Linked DNA regions of Neurospora crassa OR74A. Each later gene encodes a partner of the first gene's protein in a complex. Links are inferred from orthologs where the notes say so. Each region holds a gene or a part of one and is shown on either strand. Other genes may lie near its edges.

Region 1 (4,249 bases):
AGTGCTCGGGACCCTGGCCGTCATAACCGTGGGGGAGAGACATGACGAGGCCGGTACGCTGCATCCACTTGCTCTCACCAGAGGCAAGGAACTGATCAATGATGACCTGAGCAGTGTTGGCGAAATCACCGAACTGGGCCTCCCACATGTTGAAGCCGTTGGGGTCCTGGAGAGAGTAACCGTACTCGAAACCGAGGATACCATACTCGGAGAGGGAAGAGTTGGAGATGACGAAGGGGGCCTGGTCCTCGCTGATATGCTGGAGAGGAATGTAGGTGTCTTCAGTCTCCTGGTCGTGGAAGACGGCGTGGCGCTGAGAGAAGGTACCACGCTCGACATCCTGACCGGTGATACGGACGTGGTGGCCCTCCTTGACGAGGGTACCAAAGGCAAGAGCCTCAGCGGTAGCCCAGTCGATGCCCTTGCCCTCCACAACGGACTTGGTGCGGTTGGTCAGGATACGCTTCAGGTTACGGTGGGCATGGAAGCCCTCGGGAGTGCTGCCAATGACGGTACCAATGTGCTCAAGGGTCGGCTTGTCAACCGCGGTAGGCATGTGGGGGAGAACCTCGCTAGCAAGCTCCTTGGGGCTCTTGAAGTTGTTCCAGGCGCTGGTGGTCCACTCCTTGGAAGTGGGCTGGTAGTCCTTGGACTTGGAGAAGCTCTCCTCGAGCATGCCCCAGACCCACTGCTTGTGCTCCTCGATGTCCTCCTTGGTGAAGGTGCCCTCCTTGAGGAGCTGGTCAACGTAGATGTCGATCTGAGGGCTCTTTTCGCTGATGCGCTTGTACATGAGGGGCTGAGTAAAGGCAGGCTGGTCGGTCTCGTTGTGGCCGTGCTTGCGGTAGCAGACAAGGTCGATGATAACATCCTGCTTGAACTCGGCACGCCAGTCAGAAGCGAGCTGGCAGACGAAGTTGACAGCCTCGACATCGTCAGCATTGACGTGGAAGACAGGGGCGTCAATGGCCTTGGCGATATCCGTGCAGTAGGCAGTGGAGCGGGCAAAACGGGGGTCAGTGGTGAAACCGATCTGGTTGTTGACAACCAAGTGGATGGTACCACCGGTAGAGAAGGCGGGGAGGTTGTGGAAGCCCAAGCACTCGTAGACGATACCCTGACCAGCGATGGCGGCATCACCGTGGAGGAGGACACCCATGGCGCTCTTGTGGTCACTCTCGTCGTTGTTGTAGTGCTGGATGGCGCGGACCTTGCCGAGGACGACGGGGTCCTCAGCCTCGAGATGCGAGGGGTTGGCAACGAGGGAGAGCTGGACGCGCTTGCCCGAGGGGGTAGGGCGCTCGAAGTTCATACCCAAGTGGTACTTGACATCACCGGAACCCTCCTCATCGGCACCGGCCATGCCGGCGAATTCGGAAAAGATGGCCTCGTTGGGCTTGCGGACGACGTTGGAGAGGACGTTGAGACGGCCACGATGGGGCATACCAATGACGATGTCCTTGACGCCGTAGTCAACGGAGCGGTCGATGAGGGCCTTCATACCAGGAACAAGGGTCTCGCAACCCTCGAGACCGAAACGCTTGTCGTTGGGGTACTTGGTGGCGAGGAAGGACTCGAAGCTGGAGGACCAGATGAGGCGGTCGAGAATGCGGCGCTTCTCATCGATCGAGTACTTGAAAGGCTGGGGGATCTCGAGACGCTCACGGAGCCAGTCGCACTTCTCCCTGTCGGGGATGTGGATGAACTCGACACCATAGGAGCCGCAGTAGATCTTCTCGCAGGCGTCGATGATCTCGCGGAGCGTCATCTTCTCGCGGCCATCGCGGGCGAAACGGGGGAGGATGCCGGGGCCGAGGCTGTACTCGGTGTCGAGATCCTTCTCGGTGAAGCCGTAGTATTCGGGGGTGAGCTCCTTGGGCCTGATGTTGCCGAAGCCCTTGGAGGCAGGAGTGTTGCGGATGCCCAGAGGGTCAATGTTGGCCTTGTGGTGACCACGGGCCTGGTAGGCGCGGACGAGGAGCTGGACCTTCAAGTGGTTGGTGACGTTGGCACCCTCGCCAATGCCGACGCCGGCGCCGGCAGCGAGACCGGGCACCACGTTGGCGGCACCGGGAACCAGGCTGGGAGGAGGCTGGAAGGCCTGGGAGATGGGCATGTTGCCGCTCTCCATGTTCTTGAAGTAGACCTGCCACGAGACGTGGACGCTCTTGGGGTCCTGCTTCCACTGGAGGTACATCTCGTCGATATAGTTGGCGGCGCTGCCCGAGAGGAAGTTGTCGTTGGGGTCGGGCGGGCTGTGGAGGGCGCTCTCATGGCGCCTCTGCTGGGAGACGGCCAGGGGACGGCGGCCAACGGCGGGCTTGAGGGAGGCCCTGGTGGTCTGGGCGACCTGGGAATAGCATCGTTTTGAGGCGCCTGCGGTCTGCAGGGCCCGGATGGAACCGCGCAACATGATGGGTGGCTGTTGTGAGGTGAGGGTATTAGGACGCAGAAACCGAAAGCGCAATCCAAGCAGCGGGGTTTTGTTTTGTGTGTACAATCTGGAAGAGGGGAGATTTGGGGGGGGGGGATGCGCAAAAGGCAAAAGGAGCGGCGGAGTAAGTCTAGGTCTCGGTCGTCGTCGTCGACTCTTGAGGGGGGGAATGGGGAGAGAGGGGGAGAGAAGACGAGAGGATCGAGATTTGGAGGGGAGGGGGACGACAGACGTTGGTGTTTTTGATGTTTCGTTGGTGTCGGGGGAAGGGGCGGCGGGAATGCAGCGACGGAAAAAAAGGGCCTCACTCTGCCCGCCGTGCAGGTGCGTCGAGTTGCTCCGTCCACTCACTGGAGTCGGGCGGTCGGTCGACCTGTCGGTGCAAACTGCAAGAGCGAGCGAGTGCTGCCGTCCAGCTGTGCTGCTGTGCATGCCTGCTGACTCCCGTTCTGCCCGCCCTGTGGAATTGACAGAACTAACGAACTGAATTGAGTGGACTGAAGTAGCTCGTACAGTGAGCATCAAGGCATCTGCACGGCTCTGTGGAGGGGACGATGACGGCACTTGCTGAAGCACAAGTGAGGCTCCCTCCCCCTCGGCTCCCGCCGTTGCGCCGCTACAAGCGCACTCAGTGCAGTGCGCCCTGGATGCTTCTCTTGGCCATAGCTTTAACATTGTGGAGCCGGCGAAACTGGGTGGAGCTACCCAGCTTCTCGCACTGGGAACAAATACATCGAAGACGCCCGGGACCCAACAAACTTGAAGGGGACATCAATGTGAGATTCTCTCGGTACCTCCATAGCCGCAAACTCGCCTACCTTCAGTTATTTACTGCTCAGTCTGCTACATACCCATACGTAGTAGCGTACACAATGGAATACACGAAGAGATATCATATCCATCATCTACTCGAATCCGTCCTCCCTCTTGTTGTTTGTCCAAAAGTCACGACGGAGTTCACGGTTCGAGCGGTGACCACGGTAACAGCAAGCATAACCGGAAGTCGTGGAGTTTCTGTGGTTTCAAGGAGGGGGACGGGAGCTGTGTCTCCATGACAAGTCATCGGGCACGCAGCAAACTGGGAAAGTGTGGAAGAGCTGGAAGTTACGGTCTGGAGAGTGCTACTGTAATTATTTCATTACGCATTGGCTCCCGCACCTCCCGTCGAGACTGGAGTTGGAGGCTCCGAGACCTGACCCGAGTCCCTTTTCCCCGGAAATCACGGTTCCCGTCTTTTTGGACCAAGTATCCAATCTTACCGTGGAAAGTGGGGAAAACTTCCATGTCCGAGGTGGAAATGTACGGTAACGCTTTCGGTCCCATCTTTGAGCGCGAACTTTTCGAAGCTTTCGCTTGGGGCATCGAACTGATGGAACTGCGCTAGACATGGTCTGGTCGGTATCCTGGGTTATGGGTTTGGGTTCAATTAGCTACTTGGCACTGACCGCCTTGTGACTTGCCGTAGTATCATGTGACTTTTGCAAAAGTCATTTATCAAATCCATTTTGTCAAAGAAGAGACAAGCGAACCGAGTCTAGATCTCGTCTCGATCTCGTCTCGAGTGGTTTATCGAAATGACTTTGAGGTTTGGCTGTTGGTTTCGATTGTGTAATTCACTACAAAATCCTGCATCGTCAGCTGCCACCTTCAACTTCTTCTTCATTATTGAGCCAGTTGCAGCATTGACTGCACGTCACAGTGTTAAATCCCCCAACTCTCATTGGCTGGCCGTGACTGGTTCGCTGCAGTGCAGTTGCTGTTGTCCAAGCTCTGCGCTGGCTTCAGATCCTTGGCATTTCCCACCCACGGCACCTG
Region 2 (4,431 bases), on another chromosome or scaffold:
TAAATAGCCGTGTGAAAAAGAGTGAATGAAACAATTAAGTTAGAGGGGATATTGCGTATATTTAAAAAATTCGATTTAGTGGGCAAAAACGGGAATTTGAATATTAGGTGTCATCCAGCTGTAGTCCCACTTTTCTTTGTAGGGGAGGGTACGTGTAGGATTCAACAAGGTGCGGGGAGGCTTTCCTATTATCTACTACTTATTATTACCTACTACTGTCTACTATTTAGTATTATAATTACTATATAGAATAAGAGGTATTAGTACGTTGGTTAGTAGTATAGAAAATGAAATTATAATTCAAATGGAAGTTGCAAATACGTTAGGGACCAACTATAAGGGTAGGTAGGAGAGGGGTAGGAAAAGGGGAAGGAAGGGGGTAATATTATAGGGCTAGCGCCCGGGTTATAGACTTTAGTTTTTAGAACTAGAATTATTATCAACTATAGTAGTATAAAGCGCGCAGCCTCAATAAAAACCTCTTAACGCTAGTAGATCCGCATTTTATATAAACGTCTCCTCCTTTATAGAATATTAATCAAGCTATACGACCAGTACCCGTATCAACTGTGCTGCCCCCGTTACACCTTATAGCAATAACCTGAATTGGAAAATTCAAGATTACTAGACAAAACGGCCAGTATTATATAACAGCTGTTATCTAGTAGAAACAAAGTACCTCTAAGGAATAGGGTAGGTGCGAGGAGGGATTCTCGTGATATATTACGGGTCTACTAAATATAATACAGCACCTAGGGTATACTAAAGCTTAATGTTATTAACAAAGCGGAAAAGGTTTGTAGGCTGGGAAAGGCCTACAGCCCGGAAGCTAAGTACTAGAAGAGAACAGGTGGCCTAAGGCATCGGCCAACTAGGGAGCGTGCCTCGGCTCTGCGGCTAGGCATCATATCCCCAGGCGCCAGACCCATTACACTCACATCCCAATGACTTAACTCTCAATACTCTGTTGTTCTTATCATTGTTCAACCCATATGATATGGGAGCACTAGAAGCCCGGTGCAATACACACGATCTTTGATTTTTTGCCACTACAACAACCTAAAGAAGCATCTTCCTGGGGTCCTCAATGTACTCCTTCACCTTAACCAGAAACTGGACAGCCTCCCTGCCATCAAGCAGCCTGTGGTCGTAGGTGAGAGCCAAGTACATCATGGGGCGAATTTCAACCTTTCCATTAACAGCAACAGGTCGCTCCTTGATAGCATGGAGACCCAAAACTGCGCTCTGAGGAAGATTGATGATCGGGGTACCCATTAAGGAGCCAAAAACGCCTCCGTTGCTAATGGTGAAAGTGCCACCGGCCATGTCCTCAATGGTGAGCTTACCATCACGAGCCTGCGATAACAGTTAGTAAGGTAATATAAGCACTCCATAGGCGCGGGAAGCCGTACCTTTTTGCCCATATCAGCGATGGACTTCTCAATGCCAACGAGGTCCATGGCTTCAACATTGCGGACTACGGGAGTGACAAGACCCTTCTCGGTGGCCACAGCGACACTGATGTCAACATAGTCCCGATAGACAATGGTGTCACCGCCATTGGGACCCTCAATCGAGGCATTTACGGCCGGGATATCGCGCATGGCCAAGACACATGCGCGGGAAAAGGCACTCATGAAGCCGAGCTTGACACCGGTCTTCTTAAGGATCTCGTCCTTGTACTGCTTGCGGAAATCCATCAGGCCCGACATGTCAACTTCGTTGAATGTGGTAAGCGAGGCAGCCGTGTTCTGGGACTGCTTGAGACGCTCGGCGATGCGGAGGCGCATGCGGTTCATCTTGACCTGGAGGGTGTTAGTTTGACCGATTCACCACTCCGTTTGCTCAGGAGCCGTTTACTTACTCTGCGCTCCTCGCGATTGCCCAATGCAGCCGGGGCCTCCTTCGCAGGAGTACTCTCCTGTTTGGGGGCAGGAGTTTCCTTCTTGGCGGGCGTAGGAGCAGGAGCAGCGGCGGGCTTGGTCTCCTTCTTAGGCTCCGGAGCCTTCTCAGGAGCAGGAGCGCTGTCCTTGGGAGCAGCCTCCTTGCTCTCGGACGCGGCCGGCTTTTCGGCACCGCCCTCTTTGGGCGCACCACCAAGCTCTAACCGGACGATGTCCTGGCCGACTGTGACAGTGTCCTCCTCATTGACGAGGAACTCCTTAATGGTACCGGCCTCGGGAGCGTTGACGGCAACATCGATCTAGAACCCAGTGGCAGAAGCAGTTAGAAAGCAAATATATGTGCCGCTGGCGAGCTATGACCGTAGAAAGAGGCAGGACAGGGGGGCAGACAGCATGTGCTCCAAGCGGTCTAGGCTCCGACACCGGCACGGGACTAAGGAAGCGTCGTACACACCTTGTCGGTCTCGATGGTCGCGATCTCTTCGTCCTGCTCGACATAGTCGCCAACCTTCTTGTTCCACTGCTTCAAGGTACCCTCACTGATGGACTCGGCCATTTGGGGGACTTTGATGACCTGATCGGCGTAGGTGCGGACATGCTGGAACTGCAGGGGAAGCTGCCGGAGTGCGGGCGTCGCATTGCAGAGCGCGAGTTTGGGAGCGGCGCGAGCCGCAAGACGAAGACCTTTGTACAGCATAGTAGCGGGATGTCGGGCAAAGGAGCAGGAGTTGGTAGGGACGCAAGATAAAGATGTGCCTTTTGAGAGGTTTTGTAGGACCAAGGTTGGGGGGAACAGCGTCGGATGAAGAACGCGAAATTGGCGGTTGTGATGAGATTTGTCGTGAGGCTACAGGTCCCGTTCTGACTCGGCGACAATGACGCAGCACCCAGCACAGAAATCTGCCGGGACAACCGGAAAACTAACGGTCAGATCGTCTGCGACCCAGAGGAAGGGTACATTAACTCAATTGCATTTTAGATATCGTATAAGCTGTCAAATTCACTCCCGCATAATAAGCGACTCCCGCGCATTTCCAACAAGTTCTTGCACCAGCATATGTTTTGCACACAGTAGCTCTACGCGACCTTTTTTTTTTTTTTTTTTTTTTTTTTTTTTTTTTTTTTTGCGCTTTCTCCGCACCGCACGGCAGCGCAGCACACCAGCCTCACCGTACCTGTTACCTCTAGGTAGTGTAGTGTCCATGTCACACCTGTAAACTGAGTAAGAAGAAACTACACTAAGTAGAGTCCCCTACCAGCCTACCTAGAGTAGGTAAGCCTATCTGGCCGTCCTTCACGGCGTCACGGGGTCAGCCTCGCAGTTTGCTGGGACGGGGAACATCTTCTGGAAACCAAAGGAGCTATCGCAAGAATCATTCCGGGGTGCGACCCGGTAGCCTGCACGGTCCAGGGATCAGCCTGCACCGAACACCTCCATAGCACTTAAATTATCATTCCAAACAAGCCTCCCTAGGTTTTACCCTATGGACGGATCGATGTTCCCCTCAGGCAACCGGTTTATTGTCAAGCATCACGCTTGAGTGTGAAAGGTACCCGAAAGACAGCAAACCTAACAATCTACGTATAGACGTACAATTCCTATCATCCCATACTGGGCACCATTTTCTTAGCGTTCAAGTGCTCATCCATTTTCTATCCTATTGTCCGTACTCAGAGTACCCTGGACCCCCTCCCCAGCATGTGCGCTAGCTCGAGGCTAGCATGTCGTAGACGCTTGGACCTCTGGTTCGCTCATCCGTCCGGGTCACCGTTTACACCGTCGGAGTAACGGATCTTAAATATGGGTGTCGGATCACCCAGGTCTCGAGGCTTTTAGACCGCATTGGTATTCATCACGTCCCTCGTAGGCAATTAGCGATTTGCCTAAGCAATCTCAATCGATCAGGTTTAAGTTACTCTTGCCTACTATATGAATGTAATAGCAAATGAATAGGGACGTCATCGTAATCTATAAAGATAGGTAGTAGCTGCATGTGCCTCCAATGGCAGTGTCCAAAGCACAGATTTGACTAGTTTTGGGTAGCCAAGCAAGACGCAAGGCTTGTAAGACTCGGCAAAGCAAAGATCACTTCCCTTCTTGGTATGTACCTAGTGGAGTGAACTGCGTACACAAGTAGACGAAATGTGAACCCAGTAATGTATATCGCCAGGTGCTGAAGTGATGATTTGTGCCTTAGGCAGCCACCCTCCAGTACGGAAGCGCGTCCTGCAAGCCCATCCAAATCGCCTGTGTAGAGCCCCCGGTGTCAACGTACCTCTTCCCAATTGCGCAATTGCGGATTCCCCCATCATTCCAATCTTATCCTACCATTCACCGCCTCAGCCCGAAATCGCACGACAGCCGATTATCACTTGTCTCTACCGTAGCCAAAGAGGTACGTGCTAAGCTGTTGGACAAAAAAGAATATACGCCTACAACGTACGTTTCGTCGAGCTCCACGAGCGGGACCCACGGTGAACGAGTCAGTTTAATCCACCATGTCGACGCGACCGGCTGTCTTGTCAG

Evidence for each region.
Region 2: tca-7 (region 1) and NCU02438 share a complex: the UniProt entries of both Saccharomyces cerevisiae proteins name them as parts of the 2-oxoglutarate dehydrogenase complex. The link is inferred for Neurospora crassa OR74A from reciprocal best matches to the Saccharomyces cerevisiae genes KGD1 and KGD2.

The regions. Positions count from the first base shown.
Region 1 is NC_026502.1:1,594,223-1,598,471, reverse strand, and holds the start of tca-7 (2-oxoglutarate dehydrogenase E1 component), read right to left. Parts: upstream 2,885-4,249; 5' UTR 2,867-2,884; coding exon 1-2,866. UniProt on the Saccharomyces cerevisiae protein: The 2-oxoglutarate dehydrogenase complex catalyzes the overall conversion of 2-oxoglutarate to succinyl-CoA and CO(2).
Region 2 is NC_026507.1:2,482,205-2,486,635, forward strand, and holds NCU02438 (dihydrolipoamide succinyltransferase), read right to left. Parts: upstream 2,998-4,431; 5' UTR 2,602-2,997; coding exon 2,359-2,601; intron 2,204-2,358; coding exon 1,865-2,203; intron 1,806-1,864; coding exon 1,413-1,805; intron 1,357-1,412; coding exon 1,060-1,356; 3' UTR 700-1,059; downstream 1-699. Other genes in the region: NCU11258 (LYR family protein), read left to right, coding at 4,404-4,426. UniProt on the Saccharomyces cerevisiae protein: The 2-oxoglutarate dehydrogenase complex catalyzes the overall conversion of 2-oxoglutarate to succinyl-CoA and CO(2).